Linked DNA regions of Arabidopsis thaliana. The protein of the gene in region 1 interacts with the protein of each later gene in a pairwise test. Each region holds a gene or a part of one and is shown on either strand. Other genes may lie near its edges.

Region 1 (4,820 bases):
CAGATAAAAAAAGGTAAAGAGTAGCGTCAAGACGAAGAAGAATATAACTAAAAGCAATTTGGTTAGAGAGGTTTCTGTCGCACTCCTGCTTTTGCTTCACGTCGTCATATTATTCTACAGCCGGCCGTCTCATTTTTATTTTGTAATTGTTATCATCTGAGCCGGATTTTACCCAACTCAAATCATTCCACTATTTGAAATTAGATTTTTCTTGTAATAGTTAATTTCCAAGTAAAATCGAAAGTTATCAAACCAATTCATATCAGTTTGTTACTAAAAAGCTAATAACTGTTAACCTGCAAAATCCTTTTATGTACTTTGTTTTATGGGTAATATTCAAATTAGAATAAATTTTGTGTAAAATCTGTGGGTTCTTCTTATTTAAAATCTGTGGGTAACTTTAAATATTGGGAAATTTACTAATGGAAAGGCATAAAGAAATGAGGACCAGCCACGTCATCAAATCAAAGTATCACATTCCTCTTTTCTTTTTATTTAAAGAAATTAAATAATAGAAGAAGAAGATACCAAAACTCTCTTTTTCTGTGCAAACACTTTGGAGGATTCTTCTAGGCTTCTTTCTACCACAAACACAAGAGCGCGTTTTCTTCACGCCGGCGAACAACGTCAGAGTCATGGCCACCGGAGATGGGAAATCGGTGATGGTCGTCGGAGTTGACGACAGCGAGCAGAGCACTTACGCCTTGGAGTGGACGCTCGATCGTTTCTTCGCTCCTTACGCTCCCAATTATCCTTTTAAGCTCTTCATCGTCCACGCCAAACCTAACGCCGTCTCCGCCGTTGGTCTCGCTGGTCCCGGTACGCTCTTTGCTTTCACTCTCGAATCTACTCTTCTAGGGGTTCTGTTTTGGGCAGCGATGGGGAGAGATCATTTAGGTTTTGTTAATCTGTGTGTTTTAGGAACTGCGGAGGTTGTACCTTATGTTGATGCTGATCTGAAGCATACCGCTGCTAAGGTTGTCGAGAAAGCCAAAGCAATTTGTCAGAGCAGATCGGTACGATCTTGCTATTATCAAACATTCAAATTCGTTTTATGTGTTTCTTGGATTTTATAATCGTCATCATGTGTTGTATTGGACTCTATTAGATGAGTTTGGTAATGTGAATGTGAATCTCTAGCACATTTAAGAGCTTCAAGCTAAGTAGCACTGGTTTTTCTTATAGTAACTATCTATCTTTGGTTAGCAACTATCTTCTTCTTTTCAATCATCATTCCTAGGTTTGTTGTGTAGGTTCATGGCGCGGTGATCGAAGTTTTCGAAGGTGATGCAAGGAATATCCTATGTGAAGTTGTAGATAAGCATCATGCTTCTATTCTTGTTGTGGGAAGCCATGGATATGGAGCTATCAAGAGGTATTATTTCATTCAGCCTTAATTCTTATGATCAATCTTTCAACTATACACCCATTCTGATTCACTTGTCGGTTTGTGTGGCAGGGCGGTTCTCGGGAGTACGAGTGACTACTGCGCTCATCATGCTCATTGCTCGGTGATGATCGTGAAGAAGCCTAAGATCAAGGTCTGAAACCTAAGGGAAGGCTACTCGGTCAAAGCAAAGTCTCTGCATAGTCTTCTAATTCAGAAGAATAAAGTGAAATAATATTAGCTTGATGTGAAACAACGATTCAAGACAATATACATTTGCATCTATATGTGTAATTGTTTACTACATACAATGTTTTGGTATCCTTAGACAATCAATATTCGTGTGTTATAATATGCTAATCTTTCTCATAACAAAATGGATGTGAAAGTTATAATAAACTTCATATGAAAGAGACTAGAGAAGAAAACAAATCAACTAAATAGAGATTAATGATTTAAATGAACAAATTTATAGTTTGGTTGTTGGTTCAGATGGATGGATGGTTTGATGATCATCTATCCAAAACTAAAGTAATAAAATAATAATAAAAAATTATCCACAATGGGAGAGGAAAGAAAAGAAAAGGGAGAGTCCAATGTCATTGTCCGGTTTTGAACCACGTCATCTCTAACAGGTCGGACGAGAGAGAGAGAGAGAGAGAGAGGAAGAGGAAGGATAGATTTACCGCATCGGCGTTCCAAAAGGCAGACGAACTCGGAGAGACAGATAGCGATAGCGAGACATGGTTTCTCATTGATTTTTGTTTGACAATCCTTTCTTTTCTTTTTTTTTGTTCTTTCGAAAAACGAAAATTTTCGTTGGTTCCCTCCGATTTGGCCTGCTGGTGAAGATATGGCCGGAGCTAAAGATTCGGGTTGCGATGATGATCTCCGAATTGCTGGTGGATGTGACCCTGGAAAACGCGGGAACCCGGAGGATTCCTCGTCTCCTGTCGAAGTCTCGTGCTCGATTTGCCTCGAATCGGTGCTCGATGATGGTACCAGATCCAAGGCTAAGCTCCAATGTGGTCACCAGTTCCATTTGGGTATTTCATTCCCTTCCTCCATCTCTTACCATTTTGCGTTCCCTCCATCACAGTTTGATGATCCGATGGCTTTTTGCTTGTACAAGCTTTTGTGCAATTATCTGATGGTAGATTTGGACGATAATTGAATGAATTTGAGAATATAGATGGATTCCTAATCCCTTGCTTTGTTTACAAGCTTAGATTGCCACGACTCTGCAGTTGGTTGATCCTAGAAATGATCGAGTTCTGACAAATGTGTGTCGTAACTTGTGAATCGGTTTCTTCTCTTGTGTAGATATAGAATGAGGCTTGCTAGTTCTATTATCTGGCTGCTGAATTTGTTGCTATTTTCGGCTTTCCCTTTAGCAGCTTGTTTTTTGGTTTCTTGCAGATTGCATTGGATCAGCATTTAACATGAAAGGAGCCATGCAATGCCCTAACTGTCGCAATGTCGAAAAGGGTCAGTGGTTGTATGCAAACGGTTCTACTCGCCCCTTTCCAGAGTTTTCCATGGAAGATTGGATCCCTGAAGAAGACTTGTACGGTTTAAGCTATCCGGAAATGGTAAAAGCTCACTACTTTGTGCAACGATATGCTTTCTTTTCGTGTACATGAGAACTGTGCTTTTATCATATAACCTCCTTATGAGAGATCGCTTATCCTGACATTTTTACGGGGTTTGCAGCAATATCGGGTCCATTGGTGCCCGTTTGGTGAACTCTCTCAAGCAGCAGCTTCTTTCGAGTAAGCCTACAACACCTTTACCATGGTTTTTGCTATTATCTCTCTTTTCTAAGGCTTTTGATCCTTCAAACGCGAAAGCTAGAATTGACTTTTGCTCTGTGTTTCAGGGAACTGGAACCTGCAACCACTACATGTAAGTTAGACGCTGATTGTTCTGTATATAATCATTTCATTTTGTCTAGCAATCCGTTTATAATGTCAAAACCCATATTTCTTCCTTAGATCATACTGAGTTCCATGGACATCACGCCGCTGCTGTGAATCATTCGTATCTTGCATATGTTGGACCTGGCCCAGCCGCTACCCCGAGAACTAGCGACAATAACAGCACAGATGATCATCCCTGGAACAGCCACTCTAACGATCACTTTCACCAGCTTCCTGTTGCCCCCCAGTATCATCACCATTCCCCATCGTTTTCACTACCCGCTGCTCATGTGGTTGATGGTGAAGTTGACTCTTCAGCAGCACGAGGCCTACCTTATGCGCATCCATTTCTTTTTAGTCACCGGTTAGCTTCTCAAACTCCCTATTGCTCTCAACTTCTTGCAGAGTGTTTTACAATATTCTTTTGGAATTGGGCATTGTAGGTCTAATCAAAGGTCCTCACCAGCAATTAACAGTTACCAAGGAAGCAGCACCCAAATGCGTGAACAGCATCATGCTTATAATCATCAGAGGCAACAACATCATGCCAATGGTCCCACTCTCGCATCACCTCTCATCTCCATGACAAGAAGGGGATTACCGCCGCCGCCACCTCCCCCACCAATGCCAGATCAGAACGTTGGATTCTTCATTTATCCAGGTGGACACCATGAACCAGAAACCGATCAAATTCATGCATGGGAGAGAGATTGGTTCCCACATTTCCCTGTCCCATCGAATCATCGCACGATCCCTAGCTTGTGGCATAGACACTTCTGAGAGAAGTTGTGTCAGAACTCTACAGTCGCCTGGGAGAATTCTATCAGGCTTAATGATCAATGTATAAAAGAAAACTGGGGACTTGTTTGATCGATCAAAACTTGTTTATGATGTAACTATAACTGGTTTCCAATGTACATTGTGAGCTTTCCAAGAACAATTGTTATAATTAATTAAACACAAGTTATCGACAAAATGTTGCCATTGTTCCTGGTTGGATGGAGTAATAGTGAAGAAGTAAATGATCCACAATCCACATGTCCATAATTCAGGTGGAAAAGTATACGTCTCAAAGAGACGATTTAACATAAAAAGAAAGCAGAACATGATTGGATAAAATTGAAAACTGAAAAACAATCAAAGCGTTTAGAGATTCCAAGATACAAAATCTTCCATGAACCTTTTATTATTCTTCTCTGGAATCGGATGAAGCTTGAAGGAGGATTGTTGAGACTAGTGATGGTTGTGAGTCCCATCTCCGGCTTCTTCACCTTTCCTCGAAGCTGCTCTTAGTTTACGCTGCTCCTCCTTGTATATCCTGTTCCTTCTTTGAAACTGCAACAACAGGTACACAACACATAAAAACTTAAACTTACAGCATCTTCATTCAAAGTAAAGAAACCACTGGTGTCAATCGTAATGTTCTAAGAGAGCCGTGTAATTGCAGAAGAAACAGTTGTAACATGTACAGAGATGATTTAGTTCCAGAAACGCCTAATCGATACATCCTATCT
Region 2 (3,443 bases), on another chromosome or scaffold:
TCATGTTAACTATTAGATTATAATAAGGCCCAAAAACACTTAGATGAACCCGGTTAGTGGTTAATACTTTTACTATATGATACTTAATTACTTACCGATAGCATTGACAGATTAAAAAATACACAAAAGCTTTGTCAAACAAAGAGATTTGAAAGACGAATCAAATCTCTCTACATACAGGGAAAATTATGAATAGCTACATGTCACCATCTGTTTAAAGTAAGATCCAATGTTCTCATCTGTATCTTTTGACTATGATTGATGACTATGTGACCTATATCATATAAATACAACGTGGTAAATTGTTATACTCATTAAGCTACCATAGTCCATAATACACTTTAATTTCCCAATTCACGATTTCACATTACTCACTAATCTAACATTTTATGATCAATCTATTGAGTATTGAGGATTGATGAAACAAAGAACGAAGGTATACTTAAATGGAGATGTCATATAACTCAGAAAGAACTTCACATATACATTTATTAAAGGAAAATTAGTTTTCTTATGAAAATAATTAGCCATTAATTAGAAACTGAAAACTCTTAATTAGCTTTTTCCCATTTTTGTGTCGGCCATATGTAACGTTGGACCCATCAACTAGGTCACAATTGGCATACGACAAATATACATAACTTTAAACCATTAGATCTTTTCTCTTTCATTACAAGCTAAAGTAATTCAAATTTAGCTAAATAAATTTAAACTAAAACTTTGGAAATGTGGTTTAGATTGTTATCAAAAGCTTAAGTGGGTTTGATCTTGCCGATGTGGCTTCCAAAAGAAAAGTATTAATTGGTTGAAGAAAGTGACTTTTGTCATGCAACCTAGTTGTATGTCATGATGTGAAATTAAGTGGGAAACCAAAATTCATATTGACAAATCCACTAAACTCTTTAGATGATAAAGTAGAAGAGCGTGTGGAAGTTTCAAATATCATTTCCTTTAAGATTACACAACAAGAGAAAGGTTGATCCATCATAAAGACGAAATATTCTTTAAGTCATATACATGGTCTACAATTTCTCACTAAGATACAAAGTAAAATCGATAAATATAATAATGAACGTACGAGTGGTTTCCAAGTTGTTCTAACCAGGTGCTTTGTCAAGATCATCGATCTATATTCTTACCCGAAATACTTACTTAACTATTATTACAAAGTTCGAATAACCAGTTCTTTTACTTTGTGATTAGTTTGAGCTTTGGTTTGACTCAATAGAAGACAAAAGAAAGAATAGATGAAGGAGAGGACCACACGAGAAGCCAAAGGAGACAGAAATGGTCACTTACCTCGTGGAGTTATACAAAAGTAGACATAAACAGACCTGAACAAATTTGGATGGTCCATGAACAGTACTCTTCCTTTTCAATTTTTATTGTCATCTTTCTCTTCTGTCATTTCATCATGATGTACTTACTATTTTGAGAAACTGCTTCGTTTTCCATTGTCTTTTCGATCCCTTAACTTCTTTTAGAAAATGTTCATACTTAAAATATTAAAGGATTCCTTAACATGCACTACAAAAAAAAAATTATTATGGATTGTGGATTACCAATGGTATAGTACTCATTTGGTTTACTTAGATATTTGGTCATTCATAAACTGAAAATCTAGAAACCCAAATAAATCTGAACCGGAATCAAAGCGAAATTTAAATTCTACACACTTAATGTATTTGTTGGACTATTGAAGGAGGAAGCAGCCAAAAAGGGTAAGAGTCATATATATAGATAGAGGTATTTAGATGGTGGAGTTCCAATCAACTAGCTTTAAAGTGTTTTGTGAGAAGGGTGTGACAGCAAACCAAACCTACCTATCGCTCTCATCATAGTACTTTGGTCCACTTATTACAAAACCCTAAGAAAATGTTCTAGTGTAGGGTCTTTGTTTCCTTTGTCTATTCCTTTCTAATACCATCTACTTCTGCTCCCATTCACTGATATAAACCTCTTCTCATAGCTATTATTGATAGAAAGAGACAGAGAAAGAGAAAGAAAAAAATCATCTCCTGAAAAAATCTATCCCTTTTTAGCTCTCATGGACGCTTCAATAGTTTCCTCATCCACTGCTTTTCCATATCAAGATTCTCTAAACCAGAGCATCGAAGACGAAGAAAGAGACGTTCATAATTCTAGTCACGAACTCAATCTCATCGACTGCATAGACGACACAACGAGTATCGTTAACGAATCTACAACATCCACAGAACAAAAGCTTTTCTCATGCAACTATTGTCAAAGAACTTTCTATAGCTCACAAGCACTTGGTGGTCACCAAAACGCACACAAGAGAGAGAGAACGTTGGCGAAGAGAGGACAACGTATGGCAGCGTCAGCCTCAGCTTTTGGACATCCTTACGGTTTCTCTCCACTTCCTTTCCACGGACAGTACAACAACCATAGGTCTTTAGGGATCCAAGCGCATTCGATAAGCCACAAGCTAAGTTCTTATAACGGGTTTGGTGGTCACTATGGTCAGATCAACTGGTCAAGACTTCCATTTGATCAACAACCAGCCATAGGTAAATTTCCCTCAATGGATAATTTTCATCATCATCATCATCAGATGATGATGATGGCTCCTTCAGTAAATTCACGGTCCAATAACATCGATAGCCCAAGCAACACAGGACGGGTTCTAGAAGGGTCACCGACTCTTGAACAATGGCACGGAGACAAAGGATTGTTGTTAAGTACAAGTCATCATGAAGAGCAGCAGAAACTTGACTTGTCCCTCAAGCTTTGAGATTCTTTTTCTTGATTCTTGAATTTAGTGTCTTTTTACTGTTTTTTCATGTGATTGTTAGTACTATTTTGTGTATATTTTTTTCTAGTAAAGATAATCTAATGTACATCTTTTTCACATATCTACTTTAGTCTGAGATTTGTAAACTATTAACTATACATTAATGGATTTCAAGTAGACATCCAACAACCGTATAAAGTATAGAGTAAAGGAAAAAAGAGAAGAAAAGTGAATATTGAGATCTGTGGGAAGATTTGATTTCAGAGTCACAAGAAAAAGGAATTAATATTATAATTCAAAGTTAGGTTACCTAAAAGTTAGAACAATCATTCTATTTGTTTAAAAGTTGCTAATAAGACATTTAAACAGAACAAAACAGATAGAAATAAACTATGAAGACAGTTGCTGTGTAGGATGATTGTGACACTAAAAGCAAAAGAGTACTAGAAGAAAAATTAAACACAATATCAAATACAATTCTTTGGTAGTATATACCAAAATACATGTAACGTTAAATAAACTAATAAAGCATCCAATGGGGTTCTCTTTGTTAGAGATTATTAGAAGGGCATCACATTGCTCCATATGTAAGAAAACATTAAAAGACAAAACTTGTCATAGATGTTGCTATCATCACTTCACGCGTGTTTTCGACAAATGGTCGAAACAGTATTCACCAAATAACCAA

Evidence for each region. Proteins that work in one complex are often made in the same cells at the same time.
Region 2: the proteins of RFI2 (region 1) and ZFP3 interact in binary tests that used the Arabidopsis thaliana proteins (3 or more experiments, as listed by UniProt).

What each region holds. Positions count from the first base shown.
Region 1 is NC_003071.7:19,551,772-19,556,591, reverse strand, and holds RFI2 (RING/U-box superfamily protein), read left to right. Parts: upstream 1-1,944; 5' UTR 1,945-2,240; coding exon 2,241-2,433; intron 2,434-2,806; coding exon 2,807-2,979; intron 2,980-3,100; coding exon 3,101-3,159; intron 3,160-3,266; coding exon 3,267-3,292; intron 3,293-3,381; coding exon 3,382-3,670; coding exon of another isoform or gene 3,671-3,749; coding exon 3,750-4,086; 3' UTR 4,087-4,278; downstream 4,279-4,820. Other genes in the region: AT2G47710 (Adenine nucleotide alpha hydrolases-like superfamily protein), read left to right, coding at 636-819, 922-1,016, 1,254-1,375, 1,460-1,547; AT2G47690 (NADH-ubiquinone oxidoreductase-like protein), read right to left, coding at 4,540-4,641. UniProt on the Arabidopsis thaliana protein: Mediates phytochrome (phyA and phyB)-controlled seedling deetiolation responses such as hypocotyl elongation in response to red and far-red light. Required for light-induced expression of LHCB3 and CHALCONE SYNTHASE (CHS).
Region 2 is NC_003076.8:8,685,477-8,688,919, forward strand, and holds ZFP3 (zinc finger protein 3), read left to right. Parts: upstream 1-1,711; 5' UTR 1,712-2,047; coding exon 2,048-2,755; 3' UTR 2,756-2,939; downstream 2,940-3,443. UniProt on the Arabidopsis thaliana protein: Acts as a negative regulator of abscisic acid (ABA) signaling during germination and early seedling development. Involved in the regulation of vegetative development and fertility. Modulates red light signaling in seedling photomorphogenesis.